Linked DNA regions of Sus scrofa. Each later gene encodes a partner of the first gene's protein in a complex. Links are inferred from orthologs where the notes say so. Each region holds a gene or a part of one and is shown in the gene's direction. Other genes may lie near its edges. The genes, in order: RBM10 and MYSM1.

The links.
Region 2: RBM10 (region 1) and MYSM1 share a complex: the UniProt entries of both Homo sapiens proteins name them as parts of the large chromatin remodeling complex. The link is inferred for Sus scrofa from reciprocal best matches to the Homo sapiens genes RBM10 and MYSM1.

Annotation. Positions count from the first base shown.
Region 1 is NC_010461.5:41,772,332-41,776,801, forward strand, and holds the start of RBM10 (RNA-binding protein 10), read left to right. Parts: upstream 1-1,566; 5' UTR 1,567-1,888; coding exon 1,889-1,958; intron 1,959-3,865; coding exon 3,866-4,007; intron 4,008-4,470. Other genes in the region: NDUFB11 (NADH dehydrogenase [ubiquinone] 1 beta subcomplex subunit 11, mitochondrial), read right to left, coding at 910-1,116. UniProt on the Homo sapiens protein: Binds to ssRNA containing the consensus sequence 5'-AGGUAA-3'. May be involved in post-transcriptional processing, most probably in mRNA splicing. Binds to RNA homopolymers, with a preference for poly(G) and poly(U) and little for poly(A).
Region 2 is NC_010448.4:153,754,172-153,758,571, forward strand, and holds the start of MYSM1 (histone H2A deubiquitinase MYSM1), read left to right. Parts: upstream 1-1,568; 5' UTR 1,569-2,025; coding exon 2,026-2,090; intron 2,091-4,400. UniProt on the Homo sapiens protein: Metalloprotease with deubiquitinase activity that plays important regulator roles in hematopoietic stem cell function, blood cell production and immune response.

The DNA of each region.
Region 1 (4,470 bases):
TGGCTGAATCCCTAGCACCCTGAACTTAGCCTGGCACACAGCAGGCCTTCAATACATATTTACAGAATTAATATATAAATGAATAAGCATCCTACAGAGCCAAGCTCCTCAACCAAAGGTTAGTATTGATGAAGCATCTATCACGTGCCAGGCCTTTTCACAAGCACAAACTGCACAATATCCTGGTAAGGTGGAAAGTGGCAAGAATAATTAACAGCTTCTAATGGTGAGTACTTAATAAGTGCCAATTGCTGTTCTGAGCACTCTGACTCATTTAATTACACGAGGCAGGTGTAATATTTTATTTTTTAGAAAGTGTCCTAATACTTTCCCCATCTTTCAAAGAAACTGAAGCACCAAGGGGTTAAGCTACTCGCCCAAGGTCACATATGTAAGTAACTATCAGGGCCTGTATTCCAACTCAGGCATTCTGATTTCAGTCTCTGCTAACAGGATAGCACAGCAGACCTGATTCTGCCACACATTCAGTTAAGTGAGCTTGGAGGAGTCACTTAACACCTTCATGCTTCAGTTTCCTCATCTGCAGAATGGGTATATTAATAGTACCTACCTCGAAATAGGGCTGTTTTGAGGATTAAATAAGTTAATATTATAAAGTGTTTCGAACACCTGAGCAAGGACCGTATCAGTGTTTAATATTATTGCTGTTATGGTATACTGCTCATTTCAGGTTTGATATCTGTCTGGAAAATAAGGTCAGTCTCGCCTCTGGCCCTGAACCGAAGGTTATCAGGGGACAAAGGAGGAAAAGGAGCTAGAAAGAACTCCCAAATCTTTGAGGATTTTGCCAGCTGCGCAATCCTCAGCCGACTAAGTACGTCCTCTACGGCGCCCCGTCCGCAGGTCCCCGATTGACCCTTGCGGCGTCCCGTTTCCCCTCCCTCTCACCTTCTCATAGAGGTTTTCGTCCTCCGGATCTGGGTCCTCCTGCAAGCGTATAGTCGGTTCCGGCGGCCGCTTTCCCACCAGAGCGGACGGGGCGATCACAGCCCTGGAGGAGCCGGACTCCCAGCGAACACGGGCAGCCGGGAGCCCTCGCGTCGCCGCTGCTGCTAAAAGGCGGCGAGCGCACAAACCTAACACCCCGGCCGCCATGACAGCTCGTTCTGCAGGCTCGCGGGGGCGGGGACGGAAATGTGACTCTGCGCAGCTGCAGTTGGGCCTGAGCGCGAGAATTGTCGCTCCGCCCCCGCCGCACTAAATAGGTCCCGAGTTGGGATTTTGTTTTCAAACGTCCTCTTTCCCTCCCTCTGTCATGGCCTCACGGGAGCAACCAGCTTCCTATCTTCTCGGTCAGGCTGTGGAATTTCTGGCCGAAAAGGCTGCTTATTTTCTTGACGAGAAGAAAACGGTGACACTTGGGTGGATGCAGTCCCCAACCAATCTCGAGGAGAGTTCCCGTGCCCTTTGGCGAGAGGGGCGGAGCTTCCGCTGGTCTTTCATCTTCCTAGGAAGCCGAGCTTCTAAAAAGCGGGCCTCGCCGGATTGGCCAATAGCTACTCTTTTTCTCGACTTGCGGGCGTTCGCACGGGGAGCGGGGTGGTGGCATGCGCTTGCCAATCAGAGCAGGCCAGGGCTGGCCCACGAAGGACGGCGACCAATAGACGGGGCCGGCCAGAGCGCGCTCCCTTAGTAGGTGGATGGTGGTCGAAGCGCCGGCTCCCTTCTCGTCGTCGCCATTTTGTGCTGGTGATCGCGGCCGGCTGGGAGTAGGCGGCAGTGAGTTGCCCGGGGAGGGCAGCGCGCCTGGGCGCTCCTTCCCTCCCCAGTCCTCCGCCCTTCCGCATTCAGCCTCGGACTGGGTCGTTGCGCGGACCGGCTCCGGCTGAGCTGGGAGAGTTGGAGGAGGTGGCGGCGGGCCGAGGTGATGTCCGGGAGCCCTCCCTTGACAGCCCGGGCCGAGAAGGTGAGCGTCGACGCTGGTCGTGGGGGCGGAGGTAAGGGACCGGGGGCGGGGGTGGGGGGGGGAACGCGTAGAGGAGGCGCGAGGGCGAACTGCGGGCGGCAGGTTTGGGTTTTCGTGCAGAACCCCCGATGCTCACACGGTCTGTGCTCGGGAGGGGGTGTCTTTTTTTGTTGTTGTTTTTTGTTTTTCTCCTTTTGAGAGCAGAGGCGCGTGCGCGATTGGGACACAGGATGGGTGCACGCGGGTTGGGGGAAGGGAGGGACGGATGGGAGTGGGTTACTGTGGCTTAGTGTGTCTGCGACGCCGAACTTTATCCGTGGGAGGCGAGTGTCTGCGACTTTGGTTTTTATCTATAGGAAGTGTGCTGTCTGCTCTCCTGTGTGACTTTGGTACTTACCTATCCACGGGGAAGTGTTTGGTGGCTCTGGTCCTTATTCTTGAGTGGGGGAGGAGGGAGAACGTATGACTGGGGTCTCTATCCTCGGATCGTGTGTCCGTAACCCTGGTCCTTATCCATGGGGAGGGGTCCTTATCCCAGAAAGTCTTCTTACAACTGGCCCTAATCCACTTACTGGGTGGGAGGAAGTGCAAGGAACGTGTGTAAGACTTAGTGTCCCTTCTTTGCGGGGGTGGGGGGTGGGGGAAGAGGGTGTTTCGTATCTGTTACTCTGACGCTCATCCTGTGAAAGGGGGCCTCAGTGGATGATTATGGCTTGTATTTACCCTGGATTCCTGTCTGTGATTTTGGCCCCTAGTTATTCGGGGCTTGACTCTGTTGAGTTTGTTCCCTATCTGTTGTGGATACCAGTGTATAACCCTGGCTCCTTTGCCAGATCTAAAGGGTTTTGTGTCCGGCTCTCATCCACTGGAGCCCCTGGTCGTGATTCTAACTCTTAGCCATCCGGGAGCGGGTAGCGCTGGTTCTCTGTGGCTTGAGGAGGAAGAGAAAATCGGTGTGAGTGTATCCGCGGAGGAAAGGTGTAGTGGCAACCTAGTTTGGGGCAGGTGCTGTTACCACCTGGCTTTGCCTGAGTCTTGTTCAGAGGGTGGGGCCTAAAGATTCCGGGATACTTTGTGGTGACCCCTGGCCTGGTCTCAAGGCTCTCAGGCCTTCCTTAGTTCTCACCGGAGCCTGAGGGTTGGGTAAAGTGACTGCCCATACGTCCCGGAGGAATAACACATCGGTTCAGAACAGGCTCCGAAAGGACTCGTTTTGCTTCTGAACAACTCGGGTCCAGAGCTCTGGGGAGGGAGCCCCCTTGGGGGACCTGGCTGTGCATAAGAGACAGGGCTCAGGGCTGAGCCAGTTGCGGTGCGGAGCCAAAACTGTGTTGGCCAGGAGCCTAGGGAGGCGGCAGCTGTGTCATTGCCAAGTTAGCCCCGTCACCCCCTGAGCCTTTCGTGGTCTCCTGCCGTGTCAGAGTGGGCAGCCAGCGTCTTTGGGGGAGGATGAAATATTCCCTGGAGGCTCGCGGATGGTAGCCTGGTGGGTGCCTGGGACCCCTGTTGTGGTGTCTTGCCCCGATGTCTAATGTGCCTGATCTGAGACAAGTCACCCAGCACTGAGAGCCCACTCTCCCCTGCTGCCCGCCCGGGCAGATAGCTCTGGGCTTGAACTTGTCTACCAGTCTCCAATGGCAGAGCCCTGATCACAGACAGCATGGGTGGCGCCACTGGGTCTCTCTGCGAGATGCTCCCCCTCTGCTGAAGGCTATGCTGTGTCTAGGGTGGCGGGCTCTAGCTTCACGTTTGTGGGGAAAGAAAGGAAGGAGCAAGCCAAACAGGGACTGCCTTCCTGCTCTGGTCCCCAGGAGTATTTCGAGTTGGGAAACAACATCGCTGGGCTCAGGGACAGCAGAGAGCCTTGAAAAGGTTTTTTCAAGGAACCCGTCTCTGCCTCAACTGCCTTGACCCCTTTCTTCCTTCTCCTCTCCCTAGAGTCCCTGCAGGAGGCATCGCCCAGGCTGGCAGATCATGGTGGCAGCAGCGGGGGTGGCTGGGAAGTGAAACGGAGCCAGCGGCTGAGGAGGGGCCCCAGCAGCCCCCGCAGGCCGTATCAGGACATGGAGTATGAAAGACGGTGAGTTACCCACTCCTACCCCTTCCAAGCAGCCTAGGCTTGTCCTTGTGTGCGAACTGACCCAGGAAAGCGCTGGGAGGGGGCTTCCGGGCAGGGGGAAGGAAAAAAAAAAACAGCACAGCAGATGATTGGTTTCTTTTCAGCAGATGTTTATTTGGCACTTGTGAGCCAGAACTTGCGCTAGGCTCTGAGAGTGCATTGGTGAATGAGATAGATAAGATTGCAGCCTTTGGAGTTCCTGTTGTGGCTCAGCAGGTTAAGAACCCAACATAGTGTCCATGAGGATGTGGGTTGAATCCCTGGCCTCTCTCAGTGGGTTAAGGATCCAGCGTTGCCAAGCTGCAGTGTAGGTCGCAGATGTGGCTCAGATCTGGGGTGGCTGTGGTGTAGGCCAGCAGCTATAGCTCCCTAGCCTGGGAACCTCCATATGCTGCAGATGTGTGGCCATAAAAACAACAAAAAT
Region 2 (4,400 bases), on another chromosome or scaffold:
AACGCGGGATCCATTGCTCACGGCAATACTGGGTCCTTAACCCACTGAGCAAGGCCAGGGATCAAACCAGAACCTCATGGTTCCTAGTCAGATTTGTTAACCACTGAGCCACGATGGGAATTCCTCCTATATATTTTTAAATAAATAGTTAAATTTAAACAGTAGACCAGGCTTCGGGAGTGTATTCAACTGTGGGGTTATAGCCACTTCCTTGCAGGTAGGGTTGAGCTATACCCTTAAGGAGCCTCGTTCACATAAAGCCAGCAAACCAGGTGCATAGGCGCATGTGTGGGGAGGATTCATATTAGTCTCCCTGTTTAGGGAGGCCTTTATGCCTAAAGGCCTTGGGGCATATTGGAATTCTGTGCAGGACTTTCCTTCCTTCCATATATATTTTAATGCCTATTGATGCCTAATACTGGGCCAGAAAGACTTCAGTTCTGTATTATAGGAGACACTGTTCATATGGTATTTTGTGTCTAGGAGACATTTGATACCCTGTGTGTCCAGGTAGTACTACAAGGGTTCCTATCCCACTTGTTTTGTAAAGATCAATGAAAGGCATCTATATTCTACAGCTCTGACCATCTGGCCATGTCCATCTTTCTAACCTTGCTATTAATTACATCTAACAAATATCTTAGAAAGCCTACTCTGTGCCAAGCATGCCAATTACCACTGAGACTGGTCACAGGATAGGCCCTTTAGCAACAGGATAACTTAAGGATGGAGCACTATTCAGTTTCTGAGCACTGGATCTCTCTCTTTACAAAACTTTCTCTCCATCTTTGGCCACACAGTTGTATTACAGCTCCTCTTATGGCTTGAGTGCAAGGGTGCATTGGGGCCAACTCAGAATATTGTGGGAAGTGAATTCATTCCATTAATTGATTGATTCACTCATCAGTTCAATATTTATTGAGCACCAACTGTGTCAGACATCATGTTGAATGTTGATACCTTAAGGACTAGTCCAAAGACTAGCAGATACAGCCTTTGTCCTTAATGAATTCATAGTCAGATGGTGGAGGCAGAAAAATGAATTAACAGCTACAATAATGTGAATGATAGATGCTAAGGTAGAAGAATACATAAGGGTAATATTTAATTTCTTAAAAAGCCTTAAGTTCTTTGAGAGAAATGGTGTTTGTCTCTCACAGTTCCTAACAACACAATTTGTACAGGTAAACACTCAGTAAAGTGTCAAAAGGTCTGGATTTTGGTCCCAGTTCTGTCTTTGACTAGCTGTCCATCCTTCTCATTAGTCATCTCAACTTTCTGAGCTTCAGTTTATCTGCAAAGGGTGACTGATGTTATTGGTCCTGCTTATCTCACTGGGTTTTGGCGTTTTCTTTGTTTCTGTTTTTTTGGCCACACCCAGCGGCATGCGTAAATTCCTGCGCTATGGTCAAACTCTTGCCACAAGCTTCTGCAGCGACAACGCCGGGCCCTTAACCTGCTGTACCATAAGGAAACTCCCTCACCAGGTTATTGTGAAGATCAACGGTGATGAGTGATTTTTTAATTAACTGTAAAGATATCTACGAAATAAAATACACAATCCTAAGTTATATTCTAAACTCTTTCCTGAATATTAAAACAGATGTTCAGCATTTTTATAAGTGCTGAATGATTCTATTCTAAAAAATAAAAACCAGCAGATAAGGGTCGCTGTTGCCACTTTCACATTCAAAGTCCGTCTGGCTTGATCTTTTCAGCACTCCAGGTATTTAGTATAAACCCCATTTTACAAATTAGAGAAGCGAGGCGCCAAAGAATTTATCCAAGACCACAACGTCTTCAAAATCCAAGCCTGGGCCACTTGCCAAGGTCTTTACACGTCAACAAAAGTCAGAAGAATCCAGACCCAGGACGCTAATATCTTTTCCCCGAAAGCCCCGCTTCTTGAGCCTGGGAGGGGCCGGTCGACGCCTCAACTCCGCCCCGTGACGCACGCAGCCCCGCCTTCACGCCCTCCACCTCTCGCGGGATCTCTCGAGAGCACGGCTGGGGTCAGGTCCCATCATGGCGGCAGAAGAGGCGGATGTGGATGTCGAAGGGGACGTCATGCCAGCGGCGGCACAGTCTGGGTGAGACATAGAGACCGGGTTTTGCAGAGACGAGGAGGGGCGCGGATGTGAGAAGGGTACCCTAGAAAGGCTGGGGTTCCGGAAGGGTCCAGGGGAGCGAAAGACCATCCGCTGGGGCCGGGGTCTCCCAGAGGCCTGGGCGGCGCCGCGCCCATCCCGCCGCCCGGCTCTTCCAAAGCGCAGCCGGCGAGTACCTGAGACTTGGGGCGGACAGCGTTTTCTCCTTTTGCTTGGATGCTGTGAGGGCGCCGGTCGCCCCTAGCACATTGCGGGCTCTTAAGCAATTACTTCTTCCGTTAGTGTCACCCTAGAATCCGCCCCCTTGCCACCGCCCAATAATCATGAGAACAAGGGCTGTCCCTAGATGGGACCTGAGCGTAGGGATTCTGGTACCATCGCCTGCAAGCCCTGTGACCTTGGGTGTGTCGTTTTATCCCTACTCCCTATCGATTTTCTCTTCCACATAAGGATAGTTGTGAAAAACTTCCAGAGAGGTATCGTGACTTAAAGGAAAGGGCAGGACGTAGAGTTAGACAGCTTTGGGTTCTCTTGTAATGGCTGGTCCTGCGAGATACTAGTAGTGTGACCTTGGGCCAGACTTTTAATTTGTCTGAGCCTCAGACAGTTCGTGAGTAGGCTGACGATCATGTTAGGTACCTCGTATGATTATTGTGAAGAAAAAATGAAGTGATTATGGGATAGGTGCTCTGTAGATGTGTTCTTTACCGGCCCGTTATCCCTAGGGGTGGTATTGTGAGGACTGCGGCGGGGGGGTGTCACAATTTATTTAGTATCTCTACCTGCAGAGCAGGCCAGTGGGGTTTTAAACAATAACCTTCAGCTTGAGACATCTAGCCCTTTGACTCCTTGCTTGCAGGGAATGAAAGCAACCATTTTTAAAATATGCTTTCAGAATCTCCTTTTAGTAATGGAAAAGGCCCAGATGGGTCAGGAATTCTAAGACCTCAGTTCTAAACTCAGCTATGTTGCTTGTACCTATAAAGAACGTTCGAAGTCTCTAGAACCATGTGGATTTGCCAATCTTAGACGGTTTTGACCTATTAAAAAGCAATTTCACGTGGTCGAACCTAGTGATAGGGCCTCTGTAAATTTTGAAGTGTACTGGCCCTGCCCATGAGGAACTAAGATAGTGGGTTTAAAGTTCTTCTGAACCCTAAAGCACTGTGAAAATGAGTAACCAACTTCATGTAGTCATTCTCCCTCAAATCTTTAGGCAAAATAGTCCAAAGCTATACAAATGGATAGGAAGGGTTTACTAACAATCATTGTTCACATTTGTGTAGACCTCGTTAATCTTGCACAAGTGCTTTTGCATGTGTGATTTAATTTGCTTTTCACAAGTCTGTGAAATAAGTGGGAGGGATTCTTATCTGCAGCCCAGAGAGAAATGAATTGGCCTTGGAAACACCAAAGATCAGCTGAGAGCATTGGCTCTATCTATCCGTTTTCCATAGGTTCTTTATTTTTCTGATTGTATTTTATTTTTATCCCTTTTTCTCTCTCTCTTTTTTTTTTTATTATTTTGCTTGAGCCTCAGTTTTATTGGTGGCACCTGTGATCATCTTAGTCTCATGTAACCAGTAATAGGGTTATTGGTTCCTGATGGTTAGAGCCATTGCCTTACAGAACTTCAGGGAGCATCAGTAACATATCCTGGTGAAAATTGCTCCCTGGTGTTAGGGCTCCAATCACATAGAATTTCTTGTGAATAAACACTTGAATTGTGTAGTTACAGCTGATAGCATTTGTGGAAGCCTTGAGGATTAATTAAAAACATGTTTAGGTCTCGCTAAGTGCTAGTTACCAAAGTTAGAAGATGGCGTTGCAATGGTTTGATTTCCTTTCTACCTATCCTGCCTCTCTTTCTCATTCTTGTTTTCTTCTGCTTGTTCTTTAAATCTTAATGTTTTGAAATTCCCTCTGTGGCATAGTGGGTTAAGGATCTGGTGATGCTGCAGCTGTGGCTCAAATTTGACCCCTGGCCTGGGAACTTCCATATGCCACAAATGCAGGGAAACACACACAAACAAAAAAACCTTTAATGTTCCAAGGGATTTTTGTCATAAGACTTTTCACTAACCACACAGTCTGTCTCTCAGGATTTAAATTTATTTGTTAGGTTGGACAGTATGAAATTTTGCCAATGTCCCACCATTTTTGACCTACAAAAATGATGTTTCCCAAATTTGTCACCAACTCAAATCTCTCTCCTGAGTTTCAGGTCCATTTATACAATTTTCTGAATCTCTCTGCCCTTGGGTGTTCTGCAGTCTCAGCTTATAAACTTTC